Linked DNA regions of Saccharomyces cerevisiae S288C. The gene in region 1 interacts genetically with each later gene. Each region holds a gene or a part of one and is shown on either strand. Other genes may lie near its edges. The genes, in order: SAM2, KGD1, YLR012C and HVG1.

Region 1 (4,263 bases):
CTATATGAAAACTTCACAGGGAGAAATAGAAGAAAATGTTCATTATTCTGTTTAACTTTGATAAAAATTACTTATACGTCTCCCAATCATGGTTTCATGGTCACTGGTAAGGAAAAATTCGAAAAACTACGGGACTAAAAATTTTTTAAAGATTGTCCATATTCCTCGATCCACACTTTCAAGTTTGAGATTTATTGTTGGCAACTTTCTTACATTTTTGTTGTTTCAACTTCTATTTTATATTCTAACAGCCGCTTCCATTTATTTTTCATAGGCTTTATATAAAAAACAAAAAATAATGGAATCAACCAACCCTTATAAACTTATATGTAGTTTACATTTAATCAAGGTCTGTTATCGTGGCTATTGCTCTAATTCATTATTTGTCGACATGTATTGGTTGATAATTTTTGTTTTGGTTCACGCGTAAGAATTTTTTTTCTTGTAGTTGCCACGTGAAACCTGACAACTTATAGTCTTTAAGGGAAGAAAGAAAGCCATTCTTTGAAGTGATTTTACTGCTTTCAAGAGTGAGAAACTCCTACATCAACGCCTAAGGAAACTCGTCATATTCTACCAAGGATGATCTCTGTCATGGCGGATGAGAAACATAAGGAGTATTTTAAGCTATACTACTTTCAGTACATGATAATTGGTCTATGTACGATATTATTCCTCTATTCGGAGATATCCCTGGTACCTAGGGGCCAAAACATCGAATTTAGTCTTGATGACCCCAGTATATCAAAACGTTATGTACCTAACGAACTCGTGGGCCCACTAGAATGTTTGATTTTGAGTGTTGGACTGAGTAACATGGTCGTCTTCTGGACCTGCATGTTTGACAAGGACTTACTGAAGAAGAATAGAGTAAAGAGACTAAGAGAGAGGCCGGACGGAATCTCGAACGATTTTCACTTCATGCATACTAGCATTCTATGTCTGATGCTGATTATAAGCATAAATGCTGCCCTAACAGGCGCCTTAAAGTTGATTATAGGAAACTTGAGGCCTGACTTTGTTGATAGATGTATACCTGACCTCCAAAAGATGAGTGATTCAGATTCTTTGGTTTTTGGCTTGGACATTTGCAAGCAGACTAACAAATGGATTCTATACGAAGGCTTAAAAAGCACTCCAAGCGGACATTCAAGTTTCATAGTCAGTACCATGGGCTTTACATATCTTTGGCAAAGGGTTTTCACCACACGCAATACAAGAAGTTGCATTTGGTGCCCTTTATTAGCTCTAGTAGTAATGGTTTCAAGGGTTATCGATCACAGACATCATTGGTACGATGTTGTCTCTGGAGCTGTTCTAGCATTTTTAGTCATTTATTGTTGCTGGAAATGGACATTTACAAACTTGGCGAAAAGAGACATACTTCCTTCACCGGTTAGTGTTTAGTAACACTTACAGAGTCCTATCAGGAAAGAATAAAAGCCGATCAAGCTTCATTCTCAGGTAACAACTGGAGCACTGGCGAGCTTTGCTCTATTATATAAGATAAAATATGCACTAAAAGTTTGCATTTCTTTACATAACTAAAACTAAGACATTATGCATAGCTTACCTGATCAAAAAGTATGTAAACTTGTTAACATCTTCACATGTGATTCATCTGGTCGTACTTTCTTGCGGTGCAGTGTAATATTTCTACCCACGTGACTATAATTGAGCTTGAAAACTGTGGCGTTTTTCCACCGATGGGTCCACGCCAGATATTAACCGAAGCCAAAATACCGATGAAATTTCTGAGATAGCTCTTGTAAACGACGTCAAATCTTCATATGCAAGGAGATCTTGATTTCTTTTTGGTAGTCATCTGTCGTCTTGAGGCGTATAAGAAGGAGGTTATATCTGTCCTTTCTACAAAGTATTTTCGAGAATCTTGCTTCTGCCCCTTTTTTCTTTTTTTAAAAGGTTTAAAAAACATAACTGTCTTCAATATATCCAGTATTTACGACAATATACAAACATAATCATGTCCAAGAGCAAAACTTTCTTATTTACCTCTGAATCCGTCGGTGAAGGTCACCCAGACAAGATTTGTGACCAAGTTTCTGATGCTATTTTGGACGCTTGTTTAGAACAAGATCCATTCTCCAAGGTTGCCTGTGAAACAGCTGCCAAAACTGGTATGATTATGGTTTTCGGTGAAATTACCACCAAAGCTAGACTTGACTACCAACAAATAGTAAGAGATACCATCAAGAAGATTGGTTATGACGATTCTGCCAAGGGTTTCGACTACAAGACATGTAATGTTTTAGTAGCTATCGAACAACAATCTCCAGATATCGCTCAAGGTCTGCACTATGAAAAGAGCTTAGAAGACTTAGGTGCTGGTGACCAAGGTATAATGTTTGGTTACGCTACAGACGAAACTCCAGAAGGGTTACCATTGACCATTCTTTTGGCTCACAAATTGAACATGGCTATGGCAGATGCTAGAAGAGATGGTTCTCTCCCATGGTTGAGACCAGACACAAAGACTCAAGTCACTGTCGAATACGAAGACGACAATGGTAGATGGGTTCCAAAGAGGATAGATACCGTTGTTATTTCTGCTCAACATGCTGATGAAATTTCCACCGCTGACTTGAGAACTCAACTTCAAAAAGATATTGTTGAAAAGGTCATACCAAAGGATATGTTAGACGAAAATACCAAATATTTCATCCAACCATCCGGTAGATTCGTCATCGGTGGTCCTCAAGGTGACGCTGGTTTGACCGGTAGAAAGATTATTGTCGACGCTTACGGTGGTGCCTCATCCGTCGGTGGTGGTGCCTTCTCCGGTAAGGACTATTCCAAGGTCGATCGTTCCGCTGCTTACGCTGCTAGATGGGTTGCCAAGTCTCTAGTTGCCGCTGGTTTGTGTAAGAGAGTCCAAGTCCAATTTTCATATGCTATTGGTATTGCTGAACCATTGTCTTTACATGTGGACACCTATGGTACAGCTACAAAATCAGATGACGAAATCATTGAAATTATTAAGAAGAACTTCGACTTGAGACCAGGTGTGTTAGTAAAGGAATTAGATTTGGCTAGACCAATTTACTTACCAACCGCTTCTTATGGTCACTTCACTAATCAAGAGTACTCATGGGAAAAACCAAAGAAATTGGAATTTTAAACATTTAGACAATAAATGTTTTATTTTGATTTTTATAATTATTTCAATCCCTTTCTTTATGCTAGGCTGGTCCCGATCACCTCCCTATATTGAGAAGACGATGCCTTATCGTTTGATTCGCTCAACTCGAGTCATGTAATTACTAGAAAATGATACAATAGAAAAGTTTTAAACATTCTTAAACTTGACAAACACCAATAGAATAACATCTAGGCATAATGATCTATTTTGTATGGATTATGTATTAGCTCCTTCAACGGAAATATATAGAAAATATTACTTTATGTTTTTAGAACTTTTTGACGAGTTTTACCAGTTTTTTTCATGATGCTCCACGTGGTAATATGACTATGCTATGGAAATAAGGTTGAAATATAGAATGTCTTTGAGGTTATTTGGTCGGCCTCTTCCAGAAATACTGTTTATGTTTCTTCCTGCACGACCTTAATCGGCTCCTGCCTTTTAACGAATTATACAAAATCTTTCTCTCGTCGCTATCATCGTTTTCAACATCATAGTAATACTCGTCTTCTAATGGCTTGCCAGACGCATCTTTTCCTTCACGCACAATAATACCAATGCAAGAAATAGTCTCCAAGACCTTTTTTAGTTCATCTTTGCTTAATTGTGAAGTGTTGGAATTGATGTTTTGCAATTGGGATAAAGGCGTTTGTTGAAGGTTAGAAAATGCAAGATGATTACATAGCACATGAACTAGGTCATCAAACCGAATTCCTCTTTCTGAGAGCGACCGAGAAATTTCGGGAATAATATTCAATGAAGTCTTAAGACGTTTTTGTGCAGGAGATACAATCGCGGTTGTAGAAGACAGCTCTTTAGTTTTTTTTGCAACTGCTGCGAAAGATTCTTCTTCATTAATGCCACCACTCCTAGTACTGGCACTTAATGTCCCAATTATTTTATCTTTAGGAAGTGGTGTCTCTTGTATAGTGTTATTTTTCAATGAAATTGATTTACGCTTCAGTTTCTTTGGAGTTGATGGCTGATTAATAACGAAAGATGTTTGGGGTGTTGTTCTATAACTAATGGGGGAGTTTTTCACAAGAGCAGGAGATGCAATAAGTAATGGTTTTGAGATCTGTTCTGTACGAGGTGAATGCTCA
Region 2 (6,249 bases), on another chromosome or scaffold:
ATTTCTGTTTCCTTTTGTCAACTAGAGCCGGTGGTTTGGGTTTGAATTTACAAACTGCAGATACGGTGATCATCTTTGATACAGATTGGAATCCACACCAAGATTTACAGGCCCAAGATAGAGCTCACAGAATTGGACAAAAGAATGAGGTTAGAATTTTAAGATTAATTACCACTGATTCCGTAGAGGAAGTTATTTTGGAAAGAGCTATGCAGAAATTGGACATTGACGGCAAGGTTATCCAGGCAGGTAAGTTTGATAACAAATCAACTGCAGAAGAGCAAGAAGCTTTTTTGAGAAGATTGATCGAAAGTGAAACGAACAGGGATGATGATGACAAAGCAGAATTAGATGACGATGAGTTAAACGATACTTTGGCCAGAAGCGCTGATGAAAAAATACTATTTGATAAAATTGATAAGGAGAGAATGAACCAAGAAAGAGCAGATGCTAAAGCGCAAGGCCTGAGAGTCCCTCCTCCTAGATTGATTCAATTAGACGAGCTACCCAAAGTATTCAGAGAAGACATTGAAGAACATTTCAAGAAAGAGGATTCTGAACCATTGGGAAGGATTAGACAAAAGAAAAGAGTTTACTATGATGACGGTCTAACTGAAGAACAATTTTTGGAGGCTGTAGAAGATGATAATATGTCTTTAGAAGATGCCATTAAAAAAAGACGTGAAGCACGTGAAAGAAGGAGATTACGTCAAAATGGTACAAAAGAGAATGAAATAGAAACCCTGGAAAACACGCCTGAAGCATCCGAAACTTCATTGATTGAGAACAATAGCTTCACTGCAGCTGTGGATGAGGAAACTAATGCTGATAAAGAGACTACAGCTTCCAGGTCAAAACGCCGGAGTAGTAGAAAGAAAAGGACCATTAGCATTGTTACGGCAGAAGACAAAGAGAATACTCAAGAAGAGAGTACATCTCAAGAAAACGGGGGCGCTAAGGTGGAAGAGGAAGTAAAAAGTAGCTCCGTTGAAATTATAAATGGTTCAGAATCCAAGAAAAAGAAACCGAAACTGACCGTCAAGATCAAACTAAACAAAACAACTGTGTTGGAGAATAATGATGGTAAGCGAGCAGAAGAAAAGCCAGAGAGTAAATCGCCCGCGAAGAAGACTGCAGCCAAAAAAACTAAAACTAAATCCAAGTCGCTTGGGATTTTTCCCACGGTGGAAAAATTGGTGGAAGAAATGCGCGAACAGTTAGATGAGGTAGACTCCCATCCAAGGACGTCCATTTTTGAAAAGCTTCCTTCGAAACGCGACTATCCGGACTATTTTAAAGTAATTGAAAAACCCATGGCCATTGATATTATATTGAAAAACTGCAAGAATGGCACTTACAAAACTTTGGAGGAGGTAAGGCAAGCCTTACAAACGATGTTTGAAAATGCTAGATTCTATAATGAAGAGGGATCCTGGGTTTACGTTGATGCTGACAAGTTAAATGAGTTTACTGATGAATGGTTCAAGGAACACTCTTCGTAACGTTTTCATCACCACATGTTTTTTTTTTTTACGACTATATCCCTTTCCCCTCTAATACTCTTTCTAGCCTTTTTTTCTACCTCTACATATGTTTATAAAATATATACCACTGTAACAATAAGATCGACAGAGCGAATATAATTCTTTGAGTAACTAATATCCTTTGGCTTATTCTCTGGGCTTATTAGTGCCGCAAAATAATTACCCGGCGGCGATGGACCAGTTAGCTTCGACCGTTTGCGATTCCGGGGCTAAGGAAGGGGCCTCTGCAAATAAGAAAGAGGCATTACACATAAATGATTGGCAAAGGGACTGCGGGAGTCAAGACCTACATGTAAGTCCGATTTACGATAACGGTTTAGATTCATTGGGTGTGTACTATTTATACTTTAACAAACCCGTGTGTTATTTAATAAGATCATATCTTGTTTGTTTTTCGCCCTCAATTTTGTTTCTGTCACATAGTCGCAGCAGCTGAATATAGATAGGAAGAGAGAAGGAAGCGATTCTCGTTCAGCATCATACTTCTTCCTAATTTCCCCAAATTAAAGTTTCGTTTGAAAGAAACAACAAAAGAGAAAGAAAGCAGTTTTTAGAAAATACTAAATTTTACCGTTATGCTAAGGTTCGTGTCTTCGCAAACCTGCCGGTATAGTTCAAGAGGACTATTAAAAACATCTTTACTTAAAAATGCATCTACTGTCAAAATTGTCGGAAGAGGGTTAGCCACCACTGGTACAGATAATTTTCTATCGACATCAAATGCCACCTATATCGATGAAATGTACCAAGCTTGGCAAAAAGACCCATCTTCAGTCCATGTTTCATGGGACGCATATTTCAAGAATATGTCTAACCCAAAGATTCCAGCTACAAAGGCTTTTCAGGCTCCTCCCAGTATCAGTAACTTTCCCCAGGGTACCGAAGCAGCTCCCTTAGGGACCGCAATGACTGGTTCAGTAGATGAGAACGTCTCCATTCATCTAAAAGTGCAATTGCTATGTAGAGCTTACCAAGTTAGAGGTCATTTAAAAGCCCATATAGATCCTTTAGGGATCTCATTTGGTAGTAATAAAAATAACCCTGTTCCTCCGGAATTGACTCTAGACTACTACGGCTTTAGCAAACACGATCTTGATAAAGAAATCAACCTAGGACCTGGTATCCTGCCAAGGTTTGCAAGGGACGGGAAATCTAAAATGTCTCTGAAAGAGATTGTGGATCATCTAGAAAAGTTATATTGTTCCTCTTATGGGGTACAATACACACATATTCCATCTAAGCAAAAGTGTGATTGGTTAAGAGAGAGAATTGAGATTCCTGAACCTTACCAATATACAGTGGACCAAAAGAGACAAATCTTAGATAGATTAACATGGGCCACTTCTTTTGAGTCATTCTTATCTACAAAATTTCCAAATGATAAGAGGTTCGGTTTAGAAGGTTTGGAAAGTGTTGTTCCAGGTATTAAAACTTTGGTTGATCGTTCTGTTGAATTGGGTGTAGAAGATATTGTTTTGGGTATGGCTCACCGTGGTAGATTGAACGTTTTATCCAATGTGGTCCGTAAACCAAATGAATCTATTTTTTCTGAATTTAAGGGTTCGAGCGCTCGCGATGATATTGAAGGATCGGGTGATGTCAAGTACCATTTGGGTATGAACTACCAAAGACCAACTACGTCTGGTAAGTACGTCAATTTATCGCTGGTGGCAAATCCTTCTCATTTAGAATCCCAAGATCCAGTTGTTCTTGGTAGAACTAGAGCTTTATTGCATGCCAAGAACGATTTGAAGGAAAAAACAAAGGCCTTAGGTGTGTTATTACATGGTGATGCTGCTTTTGCTGGGCAGGGTGTTGTTTATGAAACCATGGGTTTCTTGACCCTACCAGAATACTCTACTGGTGGTACTATTCATGTTATTACAAACAACCAGATCGGATTCACTACGGATCCAAGATTTGCAAGGTCCACACCATATCCTTCCGATTTGGCTAAGGCCATTGATGCCCCAATTTTCCATGTTAACGCTAATGACGTGGAAGCTGTGACCTTTATTTTCAATTTAGCCGCAGAATGGAGACATAAGTTCCACACAGATGCCATAATTGATGTCGTTGGTTGGAGAAAACATGGACATAATGAAACCGATCAGCCATCGTTTACTCAACCATTAATGTACAAAAAAATTGCAAAACAAAAATCTGTCATTGACGTCTATACGGAAAAATTGATAAGTGAAGGCACATTTTCTAAAAAAGATATTGATGAGCACAAGAAATGGGTATGGAACTTATTTGAAGATGCTTTCGAAAAGGCAAAGGATTACGTCCCATCTCAAAGAGAATGGTTAACTGCTGCCTGGGAAGGATTCAAATCCCCAAAGGAATTGGCCACTGAGATATTACCACATGAACCAACTAATGTTCCAGAGAGTACTTTGAAAGAACTAGGTAAGGTACTCTCTTCGTGGCCAGAAGGTTTTGAAGTGCACAAAAATCTAAAGAGAATTTTGAAAAATAGAGGAAAATCTATTGAGACAGGTGAAGGCATCGATTGGGCCACCGGTGAAGCATTAGCGTTCGGTACATTGGTTTTGGATGGTCAGAACGTTAGGGTTTCCGGTGAAGATGTAGAAAGAGGTACATTTTCTCAACGTCATGCAGTCTTGCATGACCAACAATCTGAAGCCATTTACACACCGCTAAGCACTCTGAATAATGAAAAGGCAGACTTCACCATTGCAAATTCCTCGTTATCTGAGTACGGTGTAATGGGTTTCGAATATGGTTATTCGCTAACCTCCCCAGATTATCTAGTCATGTGGGAGGCTCAATTCGGTGACTTTGCAAATACAGCACAGGTTATTATTGACCAATTTATTGCCGGTGGTGAACAAAAATGGAAGCAACGCTCTGGTTTAGTTTTGTCTTTACCCCATGGTTATGATGGCCAGGGGCCAGAACATTCGTCTGGTAGATTGGAAAGATTCTTGCAACTAGCCAATGAAGACCCAAGATATTTCCCATCTGAAGAAAAGCTACAGAGACAACATCAGGATTGTAATTTCCAGGTTGTTTATCCAACTACGCCTGCTAATTTATTCCACATTCTAAGGAGACAGCAACATCGTCAATTCCGTAAACCATTGGCGTTATTCTTTTCTAAACAGCTGCTGCGTCACCCATTGGCCAGATCATCTCTTTCCGAATTCACTGAAGGCGGATTCCAATGGATTATCGAAGATATTGAACATGGAAAAAGTATTGGTACGAAAGAGGAAACCAAGAGATTAGTTTTGCTGAGTGGCCAAGTGTACACTGCCCTACATAAAAGACGTGAAAGTTTGGGTGATAAGACCACTGCTTTCTTAAAGATTGAACAGCTGCACCCATTCCCATTTGCTCAGCTACGTGATTCATTAAATTCTTATCCAAACTTGGAAGAAATTGTTTGGTGCCAGGAAGAGCCATTGAACATGGGTTCGTGGGCATACACAGAACCACGCTTACACACAACATTAAAAGAAACGGATAAATATAAGGATTTCAAGGTCAGATACTGTGGTAGAAACCCAAGTGGTGCTGTTGCTGCCGGTAGCAAATCACTACATTTGGCCGAAGAAGATGCCTTTTTGAAAGATGTTTTCCAACAATCCTAAAGATGAATTCAAATATGAAAAACATGAAAATACAGCCATATAAACACGTAATATTTTTACCTTAATGTTTATGGACAGCCTTTTTACTTGAAGAATGATCTAACAAATATTTTTTTTGATACATTCACATTTTTTTTTTGTTCATGATGTTAGCATCTGCTTAGTCTTTTTAAAATTATTTAATTTAACGTTTTATTTATGTGAACCTTTTTTTATTAGTTGTATTTACTATTTATTCAAGAATCATTCTTTACTTTATATTGATATCGTTTTTTTCCCCCTACTTCCTCCTCTGGTGTATTCACAGCTAGGTGCTTCTCTTGTCCTCATCCGGTGGAGAAAAAAAGTGAAAAATAAGTCAATGGAAAGGGGGAAGGGGGTAGGTAAATAGAGTGAATAAGTTTTATTCATCATGCCCAACTTCTATTAATATATACTCAATTCAAATATTGATCAGGATTTCAAAGAGTATGTCGGAGTTACAGTCACAACCTAAAAAGATTGCCGTTGTTACAGGCGCCTCAGGTGGTATTGGATATGAGGTAACGAAGGAATTAGCCAGAAATGGCTATTTGGTTTATGCATGTGCAAGAAGACTAGAACCAATGGCACAATTGGCCATCCAATTTGGTAACGATAGTATCAAACCATATAAGTTGGATATTTCCAAGCCAGAAGAAATTGTAACATTTTCTGGTTTTTTGCGAGCTAATTTACCTGATGGTAAATTAGATTTATTGTACAACAATGCCGGTCAGAGTTGTACATTCCCTGCATTGGATGCAACAGATGCTGCAGTAGAACAATGCTTTAAGGTCAATGTGTTTGGTCATATCAACATGTGCCGTGAATTGTCGGAGTTCCTTATTAAAGCGAAAGGAACCATTGTCTTCACTGGTTCCTTGGCAGGAGTTGTGTCATTCCCCTTTGGTAGCATTTATTCCGCTTCTAAAGCTGCTATCCACCAATATGCTCGTGGGTTACATCTAGAGATGAAGCCCTTCAACGTGAGAGTGATTAACGCTATTACTGGCGGTGTGGCTACTGATATCGCTGATAAAAGGCCCTTGCCTGAAACCTCAATA
Region 3 (3,290 bases), on another chromosome or scaffold:
TTTTTGTGATAATCTTCAAAGTTGAACGCATGTATAAAATGATAGAAGCAACAGTCCATTGAGAAGTATGCCACTATAGTCATATATATATATATATATATATATATATATATTTACGTATTAATTGATAAACTATAATACCAACGGCACTTGATACTTGAATTCATCTTACATTTCCAGTGATGATTTTTTTTTCTGGGACTACGCTGATAAAGAAAAATTGCAAGAACTGAGAAACCACTTGTTTTGTATGGCACTTTGACTTTCGAATAACACATAATGTTCGTTATCAACTGTTTAAAGTCGATAAATGTATAATCACTGCTTTGACATAAGTATATAACATTCCGAGCAGAAATAAATTCTCTTAACGCGTTCTTGTAACTCCATAGAGGCTCTTTGGAACTTTTCGTTTGACGCTCACACCTTTTATTTCGTTAAAGTACCGTTTTGCCAGATCCTTGCCAAAAACCAAAAATATTTTTCTATAAAATAATCCACAGGCATTACACAATGTCACCTCTCCATCAGGACCCTCTCTCCATTGCGGAGAAGTTTTTATCACCGCACACTGTGGACATCTCCTGGTGACGCCTTTCCTCTTTTGGACATTGTGCTGAACAACAGCAGTATTATTCGTTGTGACATACAAAGATGCACTAATGGGTTTAGCAGTATTGATTTTTGTTTGAGAGTGAGGTTTTTCGCAGTCTATTGTCTCCTCTACCGGATTCAATAACGATTCAACGGAGATTCTTTTATATTCTGGATGACACAAAGTCTTAATGTTCATAGCAAATTCTTCCTTCTGGCTTTATATTTGCTTCTAGTTGATAATTGTTTACATTTAATGAAATTGTTTCAAATCAAGAAAAGGTAAGATAAGCTCCCTCAAAGAACCTCTCGTCTTATAATATACTCTTCAAACAGAGCAACAAATATTAATTAACATGCTCGACCATTTGTTCTTTTCCATCAAATTGGACCCTAGACCCTTAAAAACATAGATATGACTGAAGAGGAGGTTTTTGACCTCTAGCCTATTATTCCATTTTACAGAGAAGCCTACTTATTTTCTGTGGCAGGCGGCTAAGCAGGTAATGTTGTCCGCATTTTATCAGAAATACTTGCCAAGAAAAAAAAGGGATTTTCATATAAGGGGATTTTCTACAGGTGTTTGTGTGAGTATGTATTGCACCAAATAAGTACTGTGTTAAAGGTTTTGTTGATGCGTTTTCATCGGGGTTAATAGCGTCTAATCCTTCAAGGGAGCTGTAAGTGATACTTTCATTATGCAAACTAAAGAAAGCTGAAGTCCTGGTACGCCACCTGGCACTTCATCTGGCTTCTTTTATTTTTTTATACACAGAAAATAACTTACTTACACTTTTTTTGGAAATAAAACCATTGTCTCGGGGAACATATACATATATATATATATATATATATGTATATAATACCAACTGCAATAAAAGAAAAGAGTCATATTATAAGTATAATTTTGAATGTTCTGTGCATTTTTCACTGTCGAATAGCTTGCTTGTCATGCCAAATAATGGGTTAAATCGCTGTGTGCTGACAATGTATCAAATAATACTTCCCCTAATTGAATGTGTGGCGCTATCCGTATATCCGGACCCTTTTTCAGGGCCGGTCTTGGCATGAAAAAATGTCAGAAGCATGAGTAGAATTAAGTCGAGAACAAACTAATATGAAGGGGATGTTTAATGTAAAAACGTATAAAAAGGCCATGTTCGAGGTGGATAATAGAACAACATTCTATGAAGACGGCAGCTTCAAGACAGAAAATATTCATAGAGATTAAGAGAAAAAGTCTCGAACATATTCAAATGAAGACTGTCTATTACAAAGAAATCACCTACCAGCAGTATCTTCAACTGCAACCTGAACAACAGGAAAAATACCTGGCTTTATGTCAAAAAGATTTTGAACAAGAGACTGAAAGAATTGCATTTGATCGTCAAGGAGGTGTGCCTGGTATTGCTAGGAAATTTGCACAAGAAGAAGTTGCTTGGTTCGATCGCGTTACAACATGGTCATATATGAATGCTTATATTCCGAGCTACAGAAGAAGAAGAAACCTTTTAAAGATTGATATGTTAAAGATGTCTAATGCTGAAGAATACTGAGAATAATTTCGAGCGCCGATCCAAATATTAGGTTTGCTTTATCTTTTTTTATGAAATAAGTTCATGAAATATGAATACTATACCACTACGCATATATATATTTTAAGAAAATTTTCGAATGAAACTTGATGAAATTAGTCCATTAAAAGTGTATGGGTAATCGAAGAGCCCAAACTACCGTTAGTATAATACTTTGTACTTTGTACTCAATACTTAATACTAATTAAAGTCTGGATTACAGTGTCCTATGATAATTGTGTTAGCTTTTCATCTTTTATTGCGACTACAGTTAAATTTTATGGTTTATTTATTCCTCGTTGTTTCGATGCACGATGCGAGTAATTGCAGGATCTCTTCATTGTGCACGCTGAGTTGTGGTACAATGTCCTCGGGTAACGGTATCGTACCTACCGGTATTTTCACCGCCACTCCACCTATAACATTCATCTTCAAACCATGTAGTACCTCTTGAAGTTGGTCATTACACTTACTACCGCCATGACCGCCGTAGCTTACCACCAGGGCAGGTTTTCCGTGCCATTCATGGTAAAGACGATCAATTGCATTTTTTAAGGCTGCTGGATACCCCCAATTATATTGAGGTGTAACGAATACAATAATATCTAATGCATTTACGATGCGACTCCACGATCGAGTTTTGCTGTCTGCATACTCATCCACGCTCTTTATTTGCGCAGGGATCAGTTCGTCATCATCTTCATATAAGGGAAGAGCAATCTGTTGTAAATCTACTACTTGTATTTTCAGCTTCTGGTCTATTAATTCTTCGCTATTTTCAATTGTACGTTTTACGTATGCTGCAATTTCTGGGCATACCCTCTTTGCCCTCACAGAACCCATTATAATACCCACTTTCATGTTTAATGCGGTTGTCGACTAAGCACCTCAGCTGGTAATGGAGATGACCAAGTAACTAATTAACAATTGATAGATATACAACTTTCCCTTTTCAATAGGCATGTCAAATCTTTCGATTTTTTTTGATTTTGCACCTTCTTTGATTCATATTTACATTCGTAACCATGTGAGATGCTCAAATGTTATGATACTGACGGGTAATAAACAACGGGGGCACCACTCAAAGAAAAAAGCAGCTTATCTGTAGAATCTACACAGGGT
Region 4 (3,919 bases), on another chromosome or scaffold:
CATATTTTATAGGTGAAGTAGAGTCACTTGATAATCTATTGTTAAATTTGTGATTTGAGATAAACGAATTCGACTCCGAGTTCTGCAATTGTTGTGATAACAATGAGGTATGTGATTTTCTTGAAGAAGGTCTTGAGACACTCGGTGAATCTACAGGAGTATTAAAAATATCAAAATTTGGCTTTTGAGAGACAAAATTTGATGATCTTGAATTTGTTGAAACGCTATTGCTTGAATTCCAATTCTGTCTATTCGAATTCGTGTTTGTGTTGGAATTCACGTCCACTTGTTGCTGTTCGTGCAGTTGTTGCAAAGACGCAGCCATAAACGATGAGGAGTACGATGCATTGCGCGACATCTTTCTTCTTGGTATATTCATTCCTTGACGTTGGAAAGAATTTGATAATAGATTCTGCTGTAGAGGACTATTTGAGTTAAAGTTTGCGGACGATATAATTCTTGGTGAGGATGCGACACTATTTCCTGCACTTACATTATTTGTTGTGTTCATTAGGTTCATGTTCATGTTGAACTGCTGTGAATTAGCGCTATTAGGTGAAGGTTTTGGTAATATCGGAACAACAGATCTGGATGAAGATTTACTGGAACTTGAGGTGTTCGATGAAGTACTACTTCGTCTTGAAGACCTTCTAAAATTAGGAGTAACAGTGTTCGAATTGTGACGCATTAAGTTATTAGAATTCAAATTTGCATTGCTTGCTCCATTAAAATTTGCGTTACTACTATTATACGATTGGCTGTTCATGAGGACCGGGGAGGGGACTGAGTTGAAGTTATAGCCTCCCCTATTTACATTAAGGATATTATTAGTATTACCGATGTTGTCTCTAATGATTTCTTCAGGTATCACTCTAGATAAAGAGTTTTGTTGTAGTGATTTTTTCCTCGATCGTATGGGTTTAGCATTTGTAGTGGTTACTGAAGTTGAGGCAGTTGCAGGTGCACTTGGAGTATTTTGTGCAATGTTTGGGTCCGTTTGTTTGGCTCTCTTCTTTGAAATCCTCTTTTTGATAACGTCCGATTTTAAGGATAATGGCCTCATGGTACCATGTAATTTCTGGAAAAGACCGCAGGCATTGCAAAGAGTATTCCCCTCTGGGCTTCTCCTCCAAAGCGGTGTCTTGAAAGTTTTACAATTGAAACATTGTATCAGAGGTTTTTTATTTTGTCCTGATGGTTCCATATTGGATATACTGGAAGATACTGAGGCAGCTCTTTTGAAATTGGCCAGGGACGTGGACGACATTGGCTTGATAAGTGAGTTTTTTCTTACAGAATTTGTTGTGTTGGATGAAGATAATCCTATCGAATCGCTCTTCTTCAGAAAAGGATGCTGGATATTACTATTGTTGCTATTATTATTATTGGTAATGTTCATAGCGGATGAAGATGAGTTGTTGTTTTGTAGTTTGTAGATGTTGAAGGAATGGTGGGACTGCGCATTAGTATTTGAGTTGTTATTGATAGATGGCTGGTTGATGTTGCTGTTGGACGTGCTGGAATTATACGGGAACAGTGAGGATTTGGAGACGCTGTTGCCGAGGGAACCGTGGTTGTATTGCGGTATGTCGGAAGTAAAGCTGTTAGGAGCACTAATAGTAGCTGAACCGCTCGAGTTGCTGGGCGTCATGTTGAATTGGTCCACGTTAAAGTCCCAAAGTTGTGCAATTTCACCATTTTGTTGGTTGGATGCGGCTATGTCGATGGGCTGAGTTGTGGCAAGTGAATCAAACATCGCAATATCATCATCCATATGATTGGTAGCTGGTGTGGTGTCCTTGACCGTCTTAGTAGTCACGCTGGTCGTGGCAGCTGCTGTAAAAGGAGACACGAAGTCCGTAAAATATAAATCATCGGGCAGTGCCTCCAGCATTGAGTCGAATGTGCCGCCGTTTAATCCACTGGCAAATGCTATATCCTCCTCGTTTTCACCGGTGTTGCCACTACTCTGGCTCCTACTGTCACCAGTTTGTCTCGGCTCTTCATTACTTCGACCATGCACGTCCAGATGACTATTCAGCAGGTCGTACAGCTTCGAATTTTCGGGGTCGTCTTGCATTTGTTTGTTGGTGGGGGAAAAGGGGGCCCTGTGCTCTCTCTCGTCTCTCTTTCTTACACACTCTGTTATTGTGGGATGGGCTACTGCGCTGACATTAGCTTACCACTCTTGAACATCTTTCTCTGTCTTGCAAGATGACTCTTTCCACTCTCTCAGCATTGCCATGTCACTTTCTTTCGGGAACCTGTCCGCCGGGTAATAGAGCAAAAAATGTGAATATATCATATTAAGAATGTTTAAAGGGCCAGGTAGAGATAGAGTACAAGAATGGAAGGTTGAAAAGCTGTAAAGAGATCAAGAAGGTGTGGTAATTATGAGCAAGCATAAGCATGAATGGACGGAATCAGTGGCCAACTCTGGGCCGGCTTCAATCTTATCTTACTGCGCGTCCTCGATTTTGATGACAGTAACGAACAAATTCGTGGTTAACCTGGACAACTTTAACATGAACTTTGTGATGTTGTTTGTACAATCACTGGTGTGCACTGTGACGCTATGTATCCTACGAATTGTAGGCGTTGCTAATTTTTGATCTTTGAACAGGACAGATGTAAAAAACTGGTTTCCAATTTCTTTGCTGCTCGTATTGATGATTTATACGTCGTCAAAGAGCTTACAATACCTTGCCGTGCCCATCTACACAATTTTCAAGAATCTGACGATCATTCTCATTGCTTATGGCGAGGTCCTCTTCTTTGGCGGAAAAGTCACTTCTATGGAGTTGACGTCATTTATTATGATGGTCCTTTCATCTGTAGTGGCCACCTGGGGCGATCAGCAGGCCATTGCAATCAAAGCATCATCTTTGGAGGATCTCGATCAGGAACTTGTTGAGTCAACCATCTTTGTGTTGAATCCGGGGTACCTCTGGATGTTCACCAATTGTATTTCGTCTGCATTGTTCGTTTTGATTATGCGGAAGAGAATTCGGCTGACTAACTTTAAAGACTATGATACTATGTTTTATAACAACGTTCTGGCATTGCCTTTGCTGCTAGTCTTTTCCTTCATTATGGAAGATTGGTCCACAAAGAATTTGTCTGTGAACTTGTCCGCCGACTCACTGGCAGCAATGGTCATCAGTGGGCTCATGTCCGTGGGGATATCGTACTGTTCCGGCTGGTGTGTTCGTGTAACTTCCTCTACAACGTATTCTATGGTTGGTGCTTTGAACAAATTGCCCATAGCGTTGGCGGGATTGGTGTTCTTTGACGCTCCAAAAAACTTTTTGTCCTTCTTTTCTATCTTTCTAGGATTTCTGTCTGGCCTGCTGTACGCTGTGGCTAAACAGAAAAAGATACAACAGCAAAAAGTTCTAGCAGCTACTCTTGAGAAGTAGTACATTCTTCATTTGCTCAAGCAAAATATACATTTATATTCATTTATATGGGGTCTTCTTTGTATTTGTTTTAGGTTATTCCTTTTTTTATGTTACATATTATGTCAGCATCGTTTTATGAAATATATTCATATATAATTTTTCAAGTAAATAGCAATAAAGTGATAAAATTTTGTTAGACGCACAAAAGGGCAGTGTCACAAATGGGAAGCGTGAACTCATCACCGAATGAAGAGTTTGAAACTGTGCCAGATTCACAAATTTCAGGGTTTGATTCTCCTTTGATACCGACTAGTGTGGGAAGTTACTTTCGCGATGACGATGACGATGAGAAGGTGCATCCCAACTTTATTAGTGATCCTGAGAACGACAGTTTGAATAGCGACGAAGAGTTTTCTAGCCTAGAGAACAGCGATTTGAATCTTTCTGGTGCCAAGGCGGAGTCTGGAGACGATTTTGATCCAATCTTAAAAAGAACCATCATTTCCAAAAGAAAGGCA

The links.
Region 2: mutations in SAM2 (region 1) and KGD1 together harm fitness more than expected from each alone (negative genetic interaction), as found in Saccharomyces cerevisiae (one large-scale study listed by BioGRID).
Region 3: mutations in SAM2 (region 1) and YLR012C together harm fitness more than expected from each alone (negative genetic interaction), as found in Saccharomyces cerevisiae (one large-scale study listed by BioGRID).
Region 4: mutations in SAM2 (region 1) and HVG1 together harm fitness more than expected from each alone (negative genetic interaction), as found in Saccharomyces cerevisiae (one large-scale study listed by BioGRID).

The regions. Positions count from the first base shown.
Region 1 is NC_001136.10:1,452,186-1,456,448, reverse strand, and holds SAM2 (methionine adenosyltransferase SAM2), read left to right. Parts: upstream 1-1,984; coding exon 1,985-3,139; downstream 3,140-4,263. Other genes in the region: SPG3 (Spg3p), read left to right, coding at 1-138; phosphatidate phosphatase LPP1, read left to right, coding at 583-1,407; PLM2 (Plm2p), read right to left, coding at 3,531-4,263. UniProt on the Saccharomyces cerevisiae protein: Catalyzes the formation of S-adenosylmethionine from methionine and ATP. The reaction comprises two steps that are both catalyzed by the same enzyme: formation of S-adenosylmethionine (AdoMet) and triphosphate, and subsequent hydrolysis of the triphosphate.
Region 2 is NC_001141.2:120,570-126,818, forward strand, and holds KGD1 (alpha-ketoglutarate dehydrogenase KGD1), read left to right. Parts: upstream 1-2,119; coding exon 2,120-5,164; downstream 5,165-6,249. Other genes in the region: RSC chromatin remodeling complex ATPase subunit STH1, read left to right, coding at 1-1,502; AYR1 (acylglycerone-phosphate reductase), read left to right, coding at 5,635-6,249. UniProt on the Saccharomyces cerevisiae protein: The 2-oxoglutarate dehydrogenase complex catalyzes the overall conversion of 2-oxoglutarate to succinyl-CoA and CO(2).
Region 3 is NC_001144.5:168,842-172,131, reverse strand, and holds YLR012C (uncharacterized protein), read left to right. Parts: upstream 1-1,850; coding exon 1,851-2,150; downstream 2,151-3,290. Other genes in the region: GAT3 (Gat3p), read right to left, coding at 368-793; LOT6 (flavin-dependent quinone reductase), read right to left, coding at 2,454-3,029.
Region 4 is NC_001137.3:227,956-231,874, reverse strand, and holds HVG1 (putative GDP-mannose transporter), read left to right. Parts: upstream 1-2,669; coding exon 2,670-3,419; downstream 3,420-3,919. Other genes in the region: nitrogen-responsive transcriptional regulator GLN3, read right to left, coding at 1-2,080; YER039C-A (uncharacterized protein), read left to right, coding at 2,394-2,612; FMP49 (Fmp49p), read right to left, coding at 3,044-3,424; Smc5-Smc6 complex subunit KRE29, read left to right, coding at 3,623-3,919. UniProt on the Saccharomyces cerevisiae protein: Involved in the import of GDP-mannose from the cytoplasm into the Golgi lumen.